Xenopus tropicalis: one gene and its partner. The protein of the gene in region 1 interacts with the protein of each later gene in a biochemical or structural test. Links are inferred from orthologs where the notes say so. Each region holds a gene or a part of one and is shown in the gene's direction. Other genes may lie near its edges.

What was found.
Region 2: the proteins of blnk (region 1) and cd79a form a complex in vitro, tested with the Homo sapiens proteins (2 studies listed by BioGRID). The link is inferred for Xenopus tropicalis from reciprocal best matches to the Homo sapiens genes BLNK and CD79A.

Annotation. Positions count from the first base shown.
Region 1 is NC_030683.2:26,110,327-26,120,829, reverse strand, and holds the start of blnk (B-cell linker protein), read left to right. Parts: upstream 1-5,112; 5' UTR 5,113-5,206; coding exon 5,207-5,253; intron 5,254-10,503. UniProt on the Homo sapiens protein: Functions as a central linker protein, downstream of the B-cell receptor (BCR), bridging the SYK kinase to a multitude of signaling pathways and regulating biological outcomes of B-cell function and development.
Region 2 is NC_030683.2:106,691,899-106,701,005, reverse strand, and holds the end of cd79a (B-cell antigen receptor complex-associated protein alpha chain), read left to right. Parts: intron 1-31; coding exon 32-361; intron 362-851; coding exon 852-970; intron 971-2,860; coding exon 2,861-2,920; intron 2,921-3,430; coding exon 3,431-3,544; 3' UTR 3,545-4,331; downstream 4,332-9,107. UniProt on the Homo sapiens protein: Required in cooperation with CD79B for initiation of the signal transduction cascade activated by binding of antigen to the B-cell antigen receptor complex (BCR) which leads to internalization of the complex, trafficking to late endosomes and antigen presentation.

The DNA of each region.
Region 1 (10,503 bases):
GATTAACCAACCCTTTAATAGTCACAATGAGAAATATTGTGTTAAAGTGGTTGTTCAACTTTTAGTATGAGGTAGGGGGTGCTATTCTGAGACAATTTGCAATTGGTCTTCATTTGGGATTTCAGCAGCTATCTGGCTCCTAGGGTCCAATTTAACCTGACAACCAGGCAGTGATTTGAAACAGAGCCAGGAATACTAATAGAGGAGGGCCTAAATAGAAAGATAAGTAATACAAAGTGAGAATAAATCTGTAGCCTTACAGAGCAATGGTTTTTTTGGCTGCTGGGGTCAGTGACCCCCATTTGATGAGTGGCATATGTAACACTTATATGGGAGGAACCATCTCCTGATACGCAAATGACTGTTGGAATGGCTCTTTTACTACTTTTACCACACTGGTGCTTGGAGATGACTGTGGCTGATTTAAGAATGAGAGTGAAATATTCTAAAGGGCACATTTACGACAGCATGAACGCTCCGAGCGTATTTTCGACAAATTTTTTTGGGCGTCCGCACAACTTTTTTGTATGCCGCACGACTTTTTCGCACACTTGCACAAAAAAATCGGAAAAAGGTTTTACCGCTGTTTTCAATGGTTCGGTCCGAAAATTTCTTGACTTTCGGATAGCCAATACGATATCATCGTGACTAATACGATTTTTTCGTAAGCATTTTCGGGATATTTGCGATCTTAGGAATTTTTCGTTTCCAATTCGAATTTTTCCCATTCGGGATTCGAATTTGTGGATTAGTAAATCTGCCCCTATGACTACAAATGAACTGAATCTAGGATGTGGTCCAGAATTTAGATCAGTGATCCCCAACCAGTGGGTCGGGGGCAACATCTTGCTCCCCAACCCCTTGGATGTTGCTCTCAGTGCCCCCAAACCAGGGAGTTATATTTGAATTCCTGACTTGGGGGCAAGTTTTGGTTGAATAAAAACAAGATTTCCTACCAAATAAAGCCCCCTGTAAGCTGATAGTGTGCATAGAGGCTGCCTAATAGCCAATCTTAGCCCTTATTTGGCTCCTCCATGAACTTTTATGGTGCTTGTGTTGCTCCCCAGGTTTTTTTACATTTGATTGTGGCTCACGAGTAAGAAAGGTTGGGGAGCCCTGATTTAGATGAATCTCAGCACAGCAAAATCCAGACCCCTGCCCTTCCTATGCCAAACTGCAGTCATGCGACTATAAAGCACTCAACTTTATATAATGCTGTTTTTTATATTATTATCCTCAAATTTAATATGCATAGTGCAGTCTGGATTCAGTTTGGTTTCCAGCTTGTCAGCGGAGGACTGAGAATTAAAAAGAAAATATAATATAAATAAACGAAATCTGACAAACTCGCATATACTACCTTGCACTTGGCACACTGACTGTATGATCAATACGTAGGATTTTAGCTCCCGGGTAACGCTAAATATAAAAGGGGTAACGCTAAATATAAAAGGGGTAACGCTAAATATAAAAGGGGTAACGCTAAATATAAAAGGGGTAACGCTAAATATAAAAGGGGTAACGCTAAATATAAAAGGGGTAACGCTAAATATAAAAGGGGTAATGCTAAATATAAAAGGGGTAACGCTAAATATAAAAGATGCAGGCAGTTTGTAAAGATCTGTAAGATAAATAATTACCCCTTGGCTACTGGAGAGGCACATGCACCAGGTTTGAGATGATATAAAGCCCCGCCAAGCTTTATGGCATCATAAGAAAACAAGTATTGCACAAGACGGCTCAGTGAATCATCCTTAGACTCTTCTTTCTCTTTCTAAATATATTGTTCCTTTGCAATTACACCCACAATAAGAGGATGTTTTGAGGAATGAAGCAATCAGCAGAAGTCACAGTCAGTTCTAATGTAAAATAAAGCCTTTATTGCTGTACATGCACATTGTCAGACATGTCACCTTTACAGATTTCACCTGGAGACTGTATGCGTATCTATGACGTAAGCATTCAGTGACATCAGAAGGAGCTGGCGCAGTGACATCACTTCCAGCAGTAGTCATGCAAAATGATGTCACTTCCAGACAATACGAGACACAGCAAAAACTGTACCCCCCCGGTCTGACTTCTCTGCATTATCACAATAACTCTTTGGACCATCCAGGCCTTTAATTTTTAATATGACAAAACATGACCACTAGGGTATGTGATGAAGAATTTTGTGGCATTCACCCCATAATGTGTGCCTGTTTACACCAATGCATTCATTCCATATTTTTAATTTTTTTTGCATTTGACTAAATACTGAATCCTCCACAGAAGATGTTTCTAAATTCCAAACTGAATCTGAACCCTAATTTGCATATTAAAAATTTGAGACAAATAAAAAATGGCATCATGGTTTGGAACAGTTCCCTAAGCCCCACCCCCTATCCCCTGCTGATCTGGCTGGCTACTTTGAGACTCAAATAAAATGTAACAGTAGCCGACTGTCTTCAGCCTGCCTTCAGCCTGCATCCTCCATATCCCACAATTCCCTGCACCTGTGATGTCAATAAGGAAAAGAACATCACAGTGCAATGCATTGTGGGTTAAGTAGTTCCTGCATGCTCTCTGTAAGCTCTGGAGAAGTTTTTACAATTTATAACATCAATGTTTTAGTCCCTCCTCCCCTGCCAGGATTTCAAATGATGCAGAAAGAGAAGAACTGTTTTGCAGCTGGATCTCAGCATATACAAACTGTTTAATATCTGCATAGTTCTATACCAGTGATCCCCAATCAGGGTTTGGAGCAACATGTTACTAACCCCTTTGATGTCGCTCCCAGTGGACTCAAAGTGGGCGGCCATTTTTACATTTCAGACAAAAAGTGTTACATTGTTTTCCCCCCTCTGCATCCAATGGGCTGTTATTTCCTTATTAGCAAAGCAATAAGCAAACATGGTTACTATACAGAATAATGACTAATCTGTACACTGGCCTGCTTTCTGTCATTGCACAATGCATTGTATACAGGGGGAATTTACAGATCAGTATTAACCAAAAATTCTTTAGAAAACAGGAAATCTGTATATCTCAATATTAGGAGTATTGTCTATGAAGATTTTCATTCATTCAGGTCATGGTATATCTAATATAAATAAATTTAAAGCAACTGGACTTGTTTGGTAATCATTCAATACGTTTCACTACTCATCCGAGCAGCTTCTTCAGTTCAACTTCAACTTCATATTAGGAGTATTCCCTCCCCTTTATTCTGGTTACCCTTATGTGTAATGCACTGTGCAGGGCTGTGATAAAAACCACTACAGCTACACATGGCTAAAAGACATATAAATATATACAGTTGCAGTTGCCATCTTTTTACAAGAAAGTTACCGGCCAGTGCGGGGTGGTGACAAAGGAGGCGGGTTGATGATGAAAAGCTATGATGTCACGGGTGATGCCAGGAGGATCAGGGAAGAGAAAAAGAGTAGGTTTCCACTAGATTCTGGGTGGATCAGGGGCTTTAGGGGGCAGGACAGGGGCTGAACTTAAGGATATTCCACATTTGCTGGCTTTTACATTGCAGGGGCGAGTGACTATTGGAGGCAGTAGTTCCATGTACCAGGCAACAGAGGAGCAAAATTTATAAGAGGAGGTGGCACAAATGATAGCAAGAATAACTACAATATAAAGTGGTGCAATTTCTGGTTACTGTCTGGAGTGAATAGGAATTTGGTTTTCAGGGCTTGAGCACAGAGGCAATTATAATGCCTTTTAAATCCCATGCTGGCTGTCTAAAAACACAAATATTGCATTTTCATACATGCAATCAAGTGCATTTTTGTGAGTTACTAAATGCAACCCTCTATTCTATTTTCTGTTGAATGCAAAAAATTTAGGGTTTTGTGCTTAAAAAAACTGAAATGAAACATGAATGCAATAAAAGTCAACTCAGGGTACAAACAGAATATAATGGAATCAATCATTAAATGCACAGTGTATAAGTGCCCTAAAAAAATCATTATCACCTTAAAGGGGTGGTTCACCTTTAGGCTGATGCCACACGAGGCGTTTTTACACTGCGTATTTTCAAATTTTCTCAGCGGCTGAAAAACGCCCGATATCATCATCCATAGAAATAACTTGAAAAGACTCGAACCAAACCACACAATGCGGAAATACGCTAGAAAAAGCCTTAGCACGGATTTTTCAAGCGTTGGCTGAAATATGCCAGTATTTGCACAGCAAGCTATTCCTATGTATACACAAAGGCAGCTGCCAGACCTAGCAGAAATACGCGGCATTTTTTACTATTTTGCACTATTAGCACCATGGAAACGGGATTTGCTACGTCACCAGTACTAGGCTGAAAAACGCCATAGTCAGGGGCTGTGTGGCTTGTGTGGCGTTTTGAGGCTGAGAAAAAACGCAGCGTAAAAACGCCACGTGTGGCATCAGCCTTAAGTATGTTATAGAATGCCCTAGCAATTTTGCAGTTGGTCTTCATTATTTATTTCTAATAGATTTTAAATAATTTGCCTTCCTTCTACACCTTTTCCAGTTTTCAAATGAGGATCACTGATCCCACAGTCAAAAAAACAATTGCCCTATGAGGCTACAATAGTATTGTTACTTTTTATTACTTATCTTCCTATTCATTCCCTTGCCTATTCACATTATTCAAACCACTGACTGGTGGCTATGGTTAATAAGACCCTAGCAACCAGATAGTGGACAGCTGCTGAAAAAAAAGCTAAATAACTGGAAAGCCTCACAAAAATAAAATGTAAAAATTAAGACCAACTGCAAATTATTTCAGAATATCAATCTCTATATCATATGTCAGGAGTGTTCTCTCACAGATGACACAGAGAGAAAACATGTAGTTGAGCTGACAGCTGGCAGTTGGAATCTTCAAATACTGTGAGATATTGTTAAAGTTCAGTGGAAATTCCAGCAGCAACCCATAACCCATACAGCAGCAGGAAGAAAGCAGCGCTAGTTGTGACTCCCAAACAGGTAGAAGCTGAGAAATGTTTGCTAAAAGCCTATTCAGGAGCCAGATGGGCAGGGAGTGGGTCATGTGACGAGAAGGAAACTCGAAACCTGAATATGTAATCAGGCAAGTTTTACTTCTCAAACGAAATGACTATGTGCCAACACACACTACTCAGGGGAAATCTGACAGAGACAGCGGGGATTTCACAGGCTGTGAGCGACTGGCACCACAAGGAGCTGGCAAGCAGGGACCCTGGCTCACCTGTGGAACATGGACACATTCAATAAGCTCTCAGCTCCAGCTGGGCACAAGTTCAGGTGAGGGGCTTTCTCTTGTTTACAGTGAAGGAGCAGAACTATCCCTGAGAGGGAAACACTGGCTTACACCCCAAATTTCTGATTTTACAAGTAACAAAAAAGTCACCTTGAAATATTCTCAGCTTCCTTGTGTACCTGGGGGTTGTTTATTCAAGCTCATTGCATATAAGGCAATGGTGTCCGACTCATGAATAACTGTTACTAAACCATAACTTCCAGCATGCTTGGGGGTGTACAGAAGCGCCGCAAGATATTGCAATGTGCCTCCATCTTGTTATTTCCTCCTCTCATTCTTTTACTTGGAAAAAATGTAACTGCATAATGCACAAATACTCATAAATAAGGATGTGAATGGAAATGTGAATGGGCTGAGCGGAAATCTGTGTAGTTTGAACCCACGGACATTCGATTTTAATGTATTTCATCACGGCAACCCAAGAATGCTAGATACTTGATCAGCAATTGATATCAGTTTGTATGGGCGCAAACATTCAGGCCAAAGTGAAATCAATTAAAACTTTCACTGGATAACAATTCACAATGTGGCAAAGGCAAACTAAACTGCTCATGGTTAATTATTAGTCAGGCTAACCCCAATCATCATCCCTTTAAATGGGGGATGCTTCTTGTACGGCAGCAATGACCTGAATGCATCATTTCAGCACTTAACATTAATAAGCTGATACAGGCAGCCTAACTTTTAAATAATTTTATTTTCAATATTTACTTTTAACTCAATGCATATTGCAAAATAAGTAGAGATGCACCAAACCCAACATTTTTTGGGTTTAGTTAAGTAACTAATTCGCCACACAAGATATTTCCACATCCTGAATCAAATCTGAACTCTTAACAGTATACAGGTATGAGACCTGTTATCCAGAATGCTCAGGACCTGGGGTTTTCCAGATAAGGGATCTTTCCGTAATTTGGATCTCCATAACTTAAATCTTCTAAAAATCATTTAAATATTGATTAAACCCAGGATTGTTTTGCCTCCAATAAGGATTAATTATATCTTAGTTTGGATCAAGTACAGGTACTGTTTTATTATTACAGAGAAAAGGGAATCATTTAACCATGAAATAAACCCAATAGGGCTGTTCTGCCCCCAATAAGGGGTAATTATATCTTAGTTGGGATCAAGTACAGGTACTGTTTTATTATTACAGAGAAAAGGGAATCATTTAACCATGAAATAAACCCAATAGGGCTGTTCTGCCCCCAATAAGGGGTAATTATATCTTAGTTGGGATCAAGTACAGGTACTGTTTTATTATTACAGAGAAAAAGGAATCATTTAACCATTAAATAAACCCAATAGGGCTGTTCTGCCCCCAATAAGGGGTAATTATATCTTAGTTGGGATCAAGTACAGGTACTGTTTTATTATTACAGAGAAAAGGGAATCATTTAACCATTAAATAAACCCAATAGGGCTGTTCTGCCCCAATAAGGGGTAATTATATCTTAGTTGGGATAAAGTACAGGTACTGTTTTATTATTACAGAGAAAAGGGGATCATTTAACCATTAAATAAACCCAATAGGGCTGTTCTGCCCCCAATAAGGGGTAATTATATCTTAGTTGGGATCAAGTACAAGGTACTGTTTTATTTTTACAGAGAAAAGGGAATCAGTTTATAAAATTAAAATTATTTGCTTATATTGGTGTCTATGGGAGATGGGCTTTCCCTAATTCGGAATTTTCTGGATAACTGGTTTCCGGATAAGGGATCCCATACCTGTACTCAGATTCTAAAAGTCATTGCATTAATGGTTGCAAAATGTTAAATTCAGTTTTTTAAAACCGTAAAGTTACATGAATTTAAGGGTTCAGTATTAGTACGAACCCTTAGTAGTAGAAACATCACAAACATGCGTGTCTGTTGCTCCATAGCACTGACTGTGTGTGTATAGCCAGTATATCCAGCATTATAAATGCATAATAAATAGACAACAGCCATGTGTCTGAACAAACAGATCTGTGAGGCTGCAGAGATTGCAGGGGGCAAGGGAAAAGAACTCCCTCTGCTGTTTCTTTACTAGTTGCACCTATTTAAAGGGCAAGTTAGTAAGCACTGAATTTCTTCTTTATAATGCTGTATTGGAATTAAAGGGTGTATTCCCATAGCCCATACTCTGGTTGTAGTTCAGCAACATCTGGGATGGTCACAGGTTTCATATCATTGCTTAGGATCTGCGGAATATGTTGGCGCTTTATAAATAAATGTTAATAATAATAATAATAATAATGGATGTAGGTCTTGTCTACAAAAATTAATTTCAGAAATCAACAAATACTTCACAAATTTGTTTGAGCAGATTCCCCTTCTGAACAGATCAGAAACTCCATTAGCCCTAAGCACCATCCTCTGCTTGTATCTGTGCAAAATAGGTAAATATTCCTATTTGCGTTTCTCCTGTGGTGCATTGGCATGTGATGTACTGCAGGGCACTGATTGGAAACCCATTCTAGTCATTTTATCACTTGATCTGATAACCTTAAAGGAACAGTAACACCAAAAAAAGTGTATAAAAGAAATTCCAGTATAATGTACTGTTGCCCTGCACTGGTGCAACTGGAGTGTTTGCCTCAGAAACACTACTATAATTTATATAAAGAATGCCGCTGTGTAGCCATGGGGGCAGCCATTCAAAGGAGAAAAGGCACAGGCACTTAGCAGATAACAGATAAAACACTATTGTATTCTACAGAGCTTATCTGTTATCTGCTATGTAACCTGTGCCTTTTCTCCTTTTTTCCAGCTTGAATGGCTGCCCCCATGGCTACACAGCAGCTTATTTATATAAATTATAGTATGTATGTATGTATGTATGTATATCTTTATTTATAAAGCGCTACTTATGTACGCAGCGCTGTACAGTAGAATACATTAATACAAACAGGGGGTTAAAGATAATGGATAAATACAAAGTACAACAATAAATACAAATAAATACAAGGTACAGTTGCAATAAGAGTCAGAAACAAGATGAACAAGGTCCCTGCCCCGTAGAGCTTACAATCTATATGGGAGGGGTAACTAACAGACACAAATGGGCAAATGTAAGTGCTGTAGGTCACAGTGGGTGACACTACAATATAAGTGCCATAATAATATAAGTAGTGTTACTGTAGCAAACACACAACTTTTACCAGTGCAGGGCAACAGTACATTATATTTCTTTTACTTTAAAACTCTTTAATTTTTTGGTGTTACTGTTCCTTTAACCCTCAGGGCCCCAAAAACATTTTTTCTAAACTTTCTTAAGCCCCAATCTGAACTATTTACCTACCTCCCTCTACCATCCTTTTTCTCTTAATAAGAGTGAGCAGCATGCTGGGAAATTGGGATATGCTCTGCAATGTTTTCAGCACCCACTTCACCTTTTTAATAGGTAGAACCAGTTAACCTACTTCCCATAAGCCATACAGGTTTGCCTCTCTATATTCCCCAACCTCACTGCCCTCACCGTGAAAAACCTGCTTCAAATGGAAGCTCCGTTCCTCTAATCTAAAGGGGGGGCCTCTGGTGTGCTGATCGTTTTTATGGGAAAAATAAAATCCCCCATCTGCCTATAATCCCCTCTAATGTAATGTTAAAGACTGTTATAGCAAACTTCTGATTGGCTGGCTGCTCAGGGTTACTGCACAGGAGTAATATTTACATCAATTTTGTGAATTGTGCTCAATATTCCATGCTGCATTGTAACTCTGAAATGCCAGTATATATATATAATAGGTTTGTGTGTGTTTTTTAAAAGGTTCCTTGATAATATCGCAAATTTTACAATAAGGAAAGGTTTTTATGAACTCATTTTGTGGGGTTAACTTGTTGTAATGTTAGCACTACACACATCACAAGATAAACCACCTGAAATCTACAAGCGCTGCAAATGTGTATTTATGAAAAGTTTAGAAAATCATGACAGCTTTTCTGTATGGATTAAATGATTTGAATGATTACATCCCACATAGAGTTTAACATTTACAATCAGGTTGGATGTATGCACTGTTTGGGCACAGACGGGTGGCCAAATTCCTAAATCTCATTATCCATCTGTAGGGTAAGGAGTATTTAGTGATGGATTATAATAGATTCCGGTGGCTGCCCCAGGACCGTGATCTTGGGGGATGGGGGGTGCAATACAGTCACCTCCCCAGTTTCATATATAAAAAAAATATACAGGTATTGGACCCCTTATCCAGAAAGTTCAGAATTACAGAAAGGCCATCTCCCATAGACTCCATTGTAATCAAATAATTCACATTTTTAAAAATGGTTTCCTTTTTCTTTGTAATAATAAAACAGTACCTTGTACAGTGGCTTGCAAAAGTATTCGGCCCCCTTGAACGTTTCCACATTTTGTCACATTACAGCCACAAACATGAATCAATTTTATTGGAATTCCACGTGAAAGACCAATACAAAGTGGTGTACACGTGAGAAGTGGAACGAAAATCATACATGATTCCAAACATTTTTTACAAATAACTGCAAAGTGGGGTGTGCGTAATTATTCAGCCCCCTGAGTCAATACTTTGTAGAACCACCTTTTGCTGCAATTACAGCTGCCAGGCTTTTAGGGTATGTCTCTACCAGCTTTGCACATCTACAGACTGAAATCCTTGCCCATTCTTCTTTGCAAAACAACTCCAGCTCAGTCAGATTAGATGGACAGCGTTTGGGAACAGCAGTTTTCAGATCTTGCCACAGATTCTCCATTGGATTTAGATCTGGACTGTGACTGGGCCATTCTAACACATGGATATGTTTTGTTTTAAACCATTCCATTGTTGCCCTGGCTTTATGTTTAGGGTCGTTGTCCTGCTGGAAGGTGAACCTCCGCCCCAGTCTCAAGTCTTTTGCAGACTCCAAGAGGTTTTCTCCCAAGATTGCCCTGTATTTGGCTCCATCCATCTTCCCATCAACTCTGAGCAGCTTCCCTGTCCCTGCTGAAGAGAAGCCCCCCCCCCCAGAGCATGATGCTGCCACCACCATATGTGACAGTGGGGATGGTGTGTTCAGAGTGATGTGCAGTGTTAGTTTTCCGCCACACATAGCGTTTTGCATTTTGGCCAAAAAGTTCCATTTTGGTCTCATCTGACCAGAGCACCTTCTTCCACATGTTTGCTGTGTCCCCCACATGGCTTGTGGCAAACTGCAAACGGGACTTCTTATGGTTTTCTGTTAACAATGGCTTTCTTCTTGCCACTCTTCCATAAAGGCCAACTTTGTGCAGTGCA
Region 2 (9,107 bases), about 81 Mb from region 1:
TGAATAACACTTGGCAATTGTCTTTAACCAGGAAAGCTATGTTGGATGCTGAAGATGCAGTGGGTGCCTACTTCCGTGCTGGGGTCCCCAGGGGACAATGTGAACCTGATGTGTAATTATGATACAAAGACATCTGAGACGAATCTCCATGTTGACTGGATTCAGATCAAGTGGTACCAGAACGTATCAGCCACAGCCAATATAACAGAGACGGAGGCAAACATGGAAGGGAGGATTCGATACAACAAGAAAGTCCTAGAAATCAAAAATGCACAAAAGAACGACAGTGCACTATATCGGTGCAGAGTAACAGTGGGGGATAAAAAATACAAGTCCTGTGGGACATATCTGAGGATTCAAGGTGAGGCTGTGACAGAGCCACAGGGTTGCAACGAGTACAGTCAATTCACTTGTGTTGCAGTTTAAAGCTAATAAGATAATTGTGCCACTTACAATTCAAGAAATGCAAGAAAATGTTTGTCCATGTAAAGGGAGAATTGATGCTTATGTTAACAGAATGGCCCCTTCATAGGCTGGCATCCTTGACTGCTCCACAAGGCTCCCAAAAAGTACCCCCTCTCCCCCATACATTGGCCTATAATGCAAAGTTGCACAGTTGAATTTGTGGCCACTTCCTTTAAGTGAGCACTGAGTTTGAGTATGTGCAGTGAAAATGACCTGGTTCTGGTGGCCACCAACCCCACTGGACCACGCTACATTCCTGTACATTCTGGGCCCAGGGAATTGGGCACCTTTCAGAAGTCAGTGGGAGCAGTTGTTAAGTAAACCCTGTGCAGGTTTTAGTTGTTGGCAGGTTTGTGCACTCGTCACAAGGGGTTTCTGTGTTGCAGAGGCTGAGCCCTACGCTTTCTTTAACCTTGGGGAGACAACAAAGAACAGAATGATCACAGTGGAAGGAGTAGTGCTTCTCCTGTGTACAATCATTCCGGGGACTTTCCTACTGTATAAGGTACGTGTTATATATTGCACAATAAGTTATTATGGGCGTTCTTTCAGTCCATGGTCAGGGCTGAATCTGTTTCAGTAGCCTACAGCAGCCAATAAGAATTATGGTTTCATTAGTGTTACTGCCAGGGACCAATTAGAACTAATTGATGCTTGGTTGCTACTTTGGATTGAAAGATCAATTTTGTGAGCCTTCTCCACCCTATTTGGAGCTACAGCATGAAACAGGGTAAGATGTATTTCCTGCTTTTATTGGCTGTTTTCCTTGTGATTTGGCTAATTAAATATACTTCCAATGGGCTTCCAGTGGGTTTTTAAGGATGCTGGGGCTAAGGTTCCTCAGGCTACCAAGCCCTTGCTATATGTGATATTACAGGCAAACCCAATAATGATTACAACCAAATAACACATGTTTTGCTTTATATATGATGATGGTTCATGTTATACTGGGTAATGTTGTCTTTTATGGGTGGGGGGAATTCATACCATACAGGTGTCTGATGAACCTAGGAGGTGGCACCCCCATGATGTTCTCATGATTGAGATTTCAGTAGCAGAAGTTGTTATTATGGTTTGCTGTAAGATGTGTCCTTGCAGAGCAGTGATTCTCAACCAATGGCTTGCGAGTAACACGTTTCTTACCAACCCATTGGCTGTTGCTCCCAATTTCCTCCAAGCAGGTGCTTATTTTTGAATTCCTGGAGGCAAGTTTTGGTTGCATAAATGTACTGCCAGAACAGAACCTCCTGTAGCCTGCCAGCCCACATAGGGGCTACCAAATATACAGTCACAGCCCTTATTTGATACCCACAGAAACTTTTTATGCTTGTGTTGCTCCCAATTTTTTTTACAATACTTAAGGCCCCCACCGACTCGGCAGCTTATCGGCCCGTGTAGGGGCAGAAACGAGCAGGCTGGCCGACCGATATCTGGCCTGAAATTGGCCAGCTATCGGTCGGCCAGGTTAGAAAATTCAGTCGGATCGGGGACCGCATCGGCTCGTTGATGCGGTCCCTGAACCGACTACCCCATTGCCGCCTACATAATCCGATCAGGGCCCCAGGGCCAAACGATTGGATTATTTTTTTTTTAACTTGAAACTCCCCAATATCGCCCACCCGTAGTTGGGGATATTGGGGGAAGATCCGCTCGCTTGGCGATCTCGCCAAGCGAGCGGATCTTACCGTGTATGGGGGCCTTTACACAGTATAAAGACACAAGGGATGGGTGTAGGGTACCAATAGATGTATGTATTGCGGTTGTTTCTTTTTGAAGAGGCAAAGCCTTTGTTATTCTCCAACAATAGAAGAAACCTTGGAAGAGAGTTTTCAGCCTAGTCCAATAACTTGGTTATCATATACTAGAATGGCAAATTAATTGTAATTTAAAAAGGAAACTATAGAAAATAGACTGATGCAAGTTCTATCATCACAATGGATGCTGTGATCTTAAACTACAGAAAAATCTGTACCAAGACCTTAGCCTTAGTGCTTAACCCTAGTTAAAGGGGTTGTCCACCTTAAAATTAACTTTTTAGCATGTTGTAGAGCTTGATGTTCTGAGACAATTTGCTATCAGCCCTCACTTTTTATTTTCTGTGGTTTTTGAAGTATTTATCTTTTTGTTCAGCAGCTCTCCAGTTTTTTTAATTACAGCAGCCATCTGGTTGCTAGGGTTCAAATTACCATAGCAATCAGGCAGTGGCTTGAATGAGAAACTTGAATATGAATAGGAGAGGGGCTGAATAGAAAGATAAGTAATAAAAAGTAACAATAACAATAAAATTGTAGCCTCACAGAGCATTTGGGTGCTGGGGTCGGTGACCCCCATTTAAAAGCTGGAAAGATAAGAAAAAGGCAAATAATTCATTATTTTTCTGTTTTTGTTGCCACAGAAGCGCTGGGAAAACCTAACGTTATTAACCACGTCACAGATAGGGGATAACATTTATGAGGTGAGAGTGATATTCATGGTAAATAATATTATCCATTATATTAACTAGTATTAACATGCGGACGTCACATTGTTACATGATTGTAGGGCCCTAAGATTTATTATTATGCCATTTAATTGAATTTAGAATTGGATGCCTAAAGGTGGTCCTAATAATGTGCTTATGAAACACTATTTCTTCCCAGGTAAAAAGGGAGTTTCCCCTGCAGTTCAGGAAAGCCCACTAGGTGGCGGTGTTTTCACATGTTAGAGGTCTTTTTCCTGGGACTTCACCTCACTGAGAGGTAGCTAGAGGAATCAGTTCAGTTAGCATAGATTAGTTAGAGGATGAGGTTGGGGATGAGGTTGCCAGCCACACAGATATAAGATATATGTTTAGTTACAAAGAGGCAGAGCATTTGTTTCTGGTTTCCCAAAAATATTCATCAAACATCTACACATACCCCAAGGCCCACACACTGCAAAATCTCCCTGGACCCTGCTTTATAAGTCTCCTCCTTCTCTCCCCCAGGGTTTGAATCTTGAAGAGTGTTCTACATATGAGGACATCACTCGTGGTCTGCAGGCCACATATGAAGACGTGGGCTCCTTGCGGGGCACTGACATTCAACTGGAGAAACCCTAACTGGGCTCAAATTACTGGCCAACTTTTGTAGTAAGAGCCCCTCTCACCTCTGCCCATAGCAATAACTGGGTCATTCTCAGAGGTGCAACTCTTTGTTCTGCATATTAGCAAATGCTTCTTATTACATTGCTAAAGAGATGTGAAGGTTCATTCACTTAGCTGCCCAGAATGTTAATGGGCCCCTTGTTCCTGGTTAGTGAGGATAAGTATACAATCTTGCTTTTATGCTGAGTGCTTTTTGCACAAATGTGTTGGTAACTCAAAATAAGCTTTAATTGGGATCCAGTTCTTTTCTTCAAGAGGGTCCCACGTGCAACTCTTCCTCTGCCCACTGCCGGCTTTCCCTATCAAAAGAGCCCTCTGGGTTTCCCTATACAGTAGTACCCAGTCAGACCCAGGACCCAGTACCCAGGACTGGAACATACACTATGGGGCAGATTTATCAAAATGTGATTTTAGAGTTTAATACATAAACTCACCCAGCTTCTATTCATTCCTATGAGATTTTTAGAAGCGTAATTTCACCCATGGATAAATACAGTTCTAAAAGTCCCATAGGAATGAATAGAGAGTGGGTGATTTTTATGTATTAAGCTCTAAGCTCACATTTTGATAAATTTGCCCCTATCTGTTGTTGAGCATTCTATCAGCTTGCTGGGAAAATATACAAAGATATGAATTTTTCTAATGATTCCTCCTAAATATTATGTTTATTTTTTAATGATAAAAATATATATTACTTTTTTCTTTTACTGTTTCTCACTTAATAAATCCTTTTGATAACCAAGCATATTTTTCTTCTCTTATGTTGGTACTGCGGCCATACCAATATAGGTGCATCTCATCTACGATTTGCATTGAATTATGGGGGAAAAATGATCTCCAAATCCCATAACTGGCAGTAGTTTTACTGTATATACTCGAGTATAAGCCTAGTTTTTAAACACCCAACATGTGCTGAAAAAGTTATATTTGAGTCGGGTGCCATGGGTCCCTCCAGACTAGCACCCTCTGTCCTTTGTGTGCAAATTAGGCCACCTGCAACCAGACCCCCCAGTGCCCTGGCCCACTCCCAAATTAATCTTTATCTACCATCCTCACCTGTCCCATTCTGCACTAGACATTGCACTTTATATTCTATATAAACTATATATAGTTTTGAAGAATTTTAACTCTTTGTGTTTTAGCTTGGTTGCTGATTGAGCTAAGGGGGTAGTACTCTTAAGGTATCATTGTTGATACCATATTGTATTTGACCCTCTTTTCCGCTTACAGAGCTAGTTTACTGTTTTTCTTTGAAATAAATATTTAAAAACATATACCCCACTGATGCCTCATTTAATGTAATTTTATTGGTATTTATTTTGATTATTGAAACTTAGCAGTAGCTGCTGCATTTCCCACCCTAGGCTTATACTCGAGTCAATAAGTTTTTCCAGTTTTCTTAGGTACAATTAGGTACCTCTGCTTATACTCAAGTATATAGTTCAGGGATCTAGGCTCTAAGATTAAGCAAAGGTCCTCCAATGTCATTTTTTCGGAAATTTTGCCGGTGCCACGTGCAAGTTTAGGGAGACAGCGGGAGCTTAGGGAGCTAAATGCTTGGCTAAAGTCTTGGTGTAGGAAGGAAGGGTTTGGGTTCCTAGAGCACTGGGCTGACTTTTCCTTGGGGTACAATCTATACAGCCGTGACGGATTGCACCTCAATGGAAGGGGGTCTGCTGTGCTAGGGGAGAGAATGGTTAAGAGGTTGGAGGAGTGTTTAAACTAGACAAGGGGTGGGTGGGTGAGCTAGAATTCTATGGGATAGCTAGTGTAGACAGGGCAGTGGGACTAGCAAAGGGTTGTGGGGGAGGAGTGAGGGGGGCATATAGTTTATCAAATAAGGAGCTTCCGTTACAAGGAAAACAGTCTAATATTTGCCTTAGCTCTAACTCTCCATTAGCTGATGTAAACATCAGAGGGAGAAGTAGTAATCTCCGCTGCATGCTGGCTAATGCGCGAAGCTTGTCGGGTAAATTAGGGGAGCTGCAAGCTATTGCATGTATTGAAAATTATGATTTAATAGGTATCACTGAGACCTGGTGGGATGATAAATGCGACTGGGCTGTGAATTTAAATGGTTAAACACTTTTTAGGAGGGACAGAGAGATTAAAAAGGGTGGAGGGGTTTGTCTTTATGTAAAGTCAGATTTAAAGCCATGTAATAAAAACATTACCAATGAAAACATTGAATCTCTTTGGGTAGAAATTTCAGTAGGGCTGAAGGTCACAAAGAAAATGATCATTGGTGTATGCTATAAACCCCCCCGTATAGATGAGGGGGATGAGGCCCAGCTATTGTTGCAAATGGAGGAGGCTTCAAAACTGGGTCAAGTTGTTATTATGGGGGACTTTAATTATCCGGACATTGACTGGAGTAATGGGGTGGCTAAGTCAGAAAAAGATAGTAGGTTTGTAAATATGCTAAATGACAACTTTCTATTTCAGGCGGTTCAAGAACCTACTCGGAATGAGTCTATTTTGGACCTGGTGATATCTAATAATACTGAACTTATCTCTAACATTTGTGTGGGTGAGCATTTGGGGAACAGTGATCACAACATGGTCTCCTTTGAGATAATGCTGCAGAGACAGTGCTATAAGGGAGTAACTAAAACACTCAATTTTAGACGTGCAGACTTTGCCAGTATAAGGGCATCTCTGCAATGTGTCAACTGGGAAAGGCTTTTCATGGGGTTAGACACAGAAGGAAAATGGAACATCTTTAAAACATTGCTTTGCAAGTATACACAACAGTATATTCCCCTTGTAAGCAAGGAGAGGCATCGCAAAGCAAAACCTTTATGGCTGAATAAAAGTGTTAGTGTCGAGGTTGGTAAGAAAAAACGTGCTTTTAAAGCATTCAAGTTAGCTGGGACAGCGGAAACTTTCATCAGGTACAAGGAAGCAAATAAAGCATGAAATAAAGCTATCAGGCAAGCTAAAATAGAAATGGAAAGAGATATTGCAGCTAGGAGTAAAAAGAATCCAAAATTATTTTTTAATTATGTGAATAGTAAAAAAATGAAGCAAGAAGGGGTGGGAACCTTATTATCACGGGGGGGGGGGGTAAGTTGGTTGATGAGAACGAGGAAAAAGCAGAAATTTTGAACTCTTATTTTTCATCTGTCTATACATCTGAGGAGCCAGCTAATGAAGGCTTCCCTTTTAATATGCCCAGTTCTAGTAATTTAGCTACTGACGCATGGGTCACTCAGGAGGAAATTCAAAAGAGACTTGAACATGTAAAGGGAAACAAAGGTCCAGGGCCGGATGGATTCATCCCAGGGTATTAAATGAGCTGAGCGCTGTGATTGCCAAACCTCTTCACTTAATTTTTCAGGATTCGTTGAGGTTTGGCATGGTGCCGAGAGACTGGCGAATTGCTAATGTGGTGCCGTTATTTAAAAAGGGATCCCGTTCTCAGCCTGAAAACTATAGGCCTGTTAGTCTGACATCAGTAGTAGGAAAAATTTTGGAAGGGGTAATAAGGGATAGGGTACTTGAATACATTGCAAATCACAATACTATTAGTTTGTGCCAGCATGGTTTTATGCGTAACAGATCTTGCCAGACTAATTTAGTCGCCTTTTATGAGGAGGTGAGCAGGAACCTTGATGCTGGAATAGTTGATGTCATCTACTTGGACTTTGCTAAAGCGTTTGATACAGTACCTCACAGAAGGATAATGATCAAATTAAGGAATATTGGCCTAGAACATAATATTTGTAATTGGATAGAGAACTGGCTGAAGGATAGATTACAGAGAGTGGTTGTAAATGGAACATTTTCTAATTGGACCAGTGTGGTTAGTGGAGTACCGCAGGGGTCAGTCCTTGGGCCTTTGCTTTTTAACTTGTTTATTAATGACCTGGAGGTGGGCATAGACAGTACTGTTTCTATTTTTGCTGATGACACAAAATTGTGCAAAACTATAAGTTCCATGCAGGATGCTGCCGCTTTGCAGAGCAATTTGACAAAATTGGAAAACTGGGCAGCAAACTGGAAAATGAGGTTCAATGTTGATAAGTGCAAAGTTATGGTAGAAATAATATAAACGCAAACTATCTACTGAATGGCAGTGTGTTGGGGGTTTCCTTAATGGAGAAGGATCTAGGGGTTTTTGTAGATAACAAATTGTCTAATTCCAGGCAGTGTCATTCTGTGGCTACTACAGCAAATAAAGTGCTGTCTTGTATAAAAAAGGGCATTGACTCAAGGGATGAGAACATAATTTTGCCCCTTTATAGGTCCCTGGTAAGGCCTCACCTTGAGTATGCAGTGCAGTTTTGGGCTCCAGTCCTTAAGAAGGATATTAATGAGCTGGAGAGAGTGCAGAGACTGCAACTAAACTGGTAAGGGGGATGGAAGGGTTAAACTATGAGGTGAGACTGTCGAGGTTGGGGTTGTTTTCTCTGGAAAAGAGGCGCTTGCGAGGGGACATGATTACTCTGTACAAGTACATTAGAGGGGATTATAGGCAGATGGGGGATGTTCTTTTTTCCCATAAAAACAATCAACGCACCAGAGGTCACCCCTATAGATTAGAGGAACAGAGCTTCCATTTGAAGCAGCGTAGGTGGTTTTTCACGGAGAGGGCAGTGAGGTTGGGGAATGCCCTTCCTAGAGATGGGGTAATGGCAGATTCTGTTAATGCCTGGATGAGTTCTTGAACAATCAGAATATCCAAGGCTATTGTGATACTAATATCTACAGTTAGTACTAGTGGTTGTATTTATAGTTTATGTATGTGAGTGTATAGATTGGTAGGTGTGGGTTGGGTGTGCTGGGTTTACTTGGATGGGTTGAACTTGATGGACACTGGTCTTTTTTCAACCCTATGTAACGATGTAACTATATACGGTACTAAGAATTTATTCCTTGTAATTTGCAAAATAACCCCTTCAAAAGATTATACAAAACACAAGGAAATAGCCTGTTCAACTAAGCACCTGGGGCATAGTTCACCTTTCAGCAGCACAAGTATTTAAGAGACAGAGGTAAAAGAGTTGCTCAGGAACAGAGAGGGGAGTTTCCTGTATAAAAGCTTATATAACTTGCACATACTTACCCCAAAACACTTAAAGCCTAACAAAGTGCATCTAAAGCATACCTCCCAACTGTCCCGATTTACAAGGAACAGTCCCGATTTTGACAGCTCAACCTGCAGTCCAGGATTTTAACTGAAAAGTCCCTCATTTCCCTTTGATCCACTGCACTGAATGCTAAAAAAGATACAATGTTTCTCAAACTTAATTAAAAAAAGTAGCTTTTGGCAGAGAGCCCAGAAAATTTAACAGGCTACATCTGCACTTAGATACAATTGTAACTAATAAGCTAAACAGGTCTCTTGGGGGAACTGAGACTTGCAGCTTAAATATAGATATGCAATGTAAATTGTTGGGGGAATGGGGAAAAATATATTATATTAATACATTTTAAGTTCAATGCTGAAATAATCTCACAGAGAACAAAAAATTGTTATACAGTTAAATCAGAGAATGGGGCATGCCACAAAGTA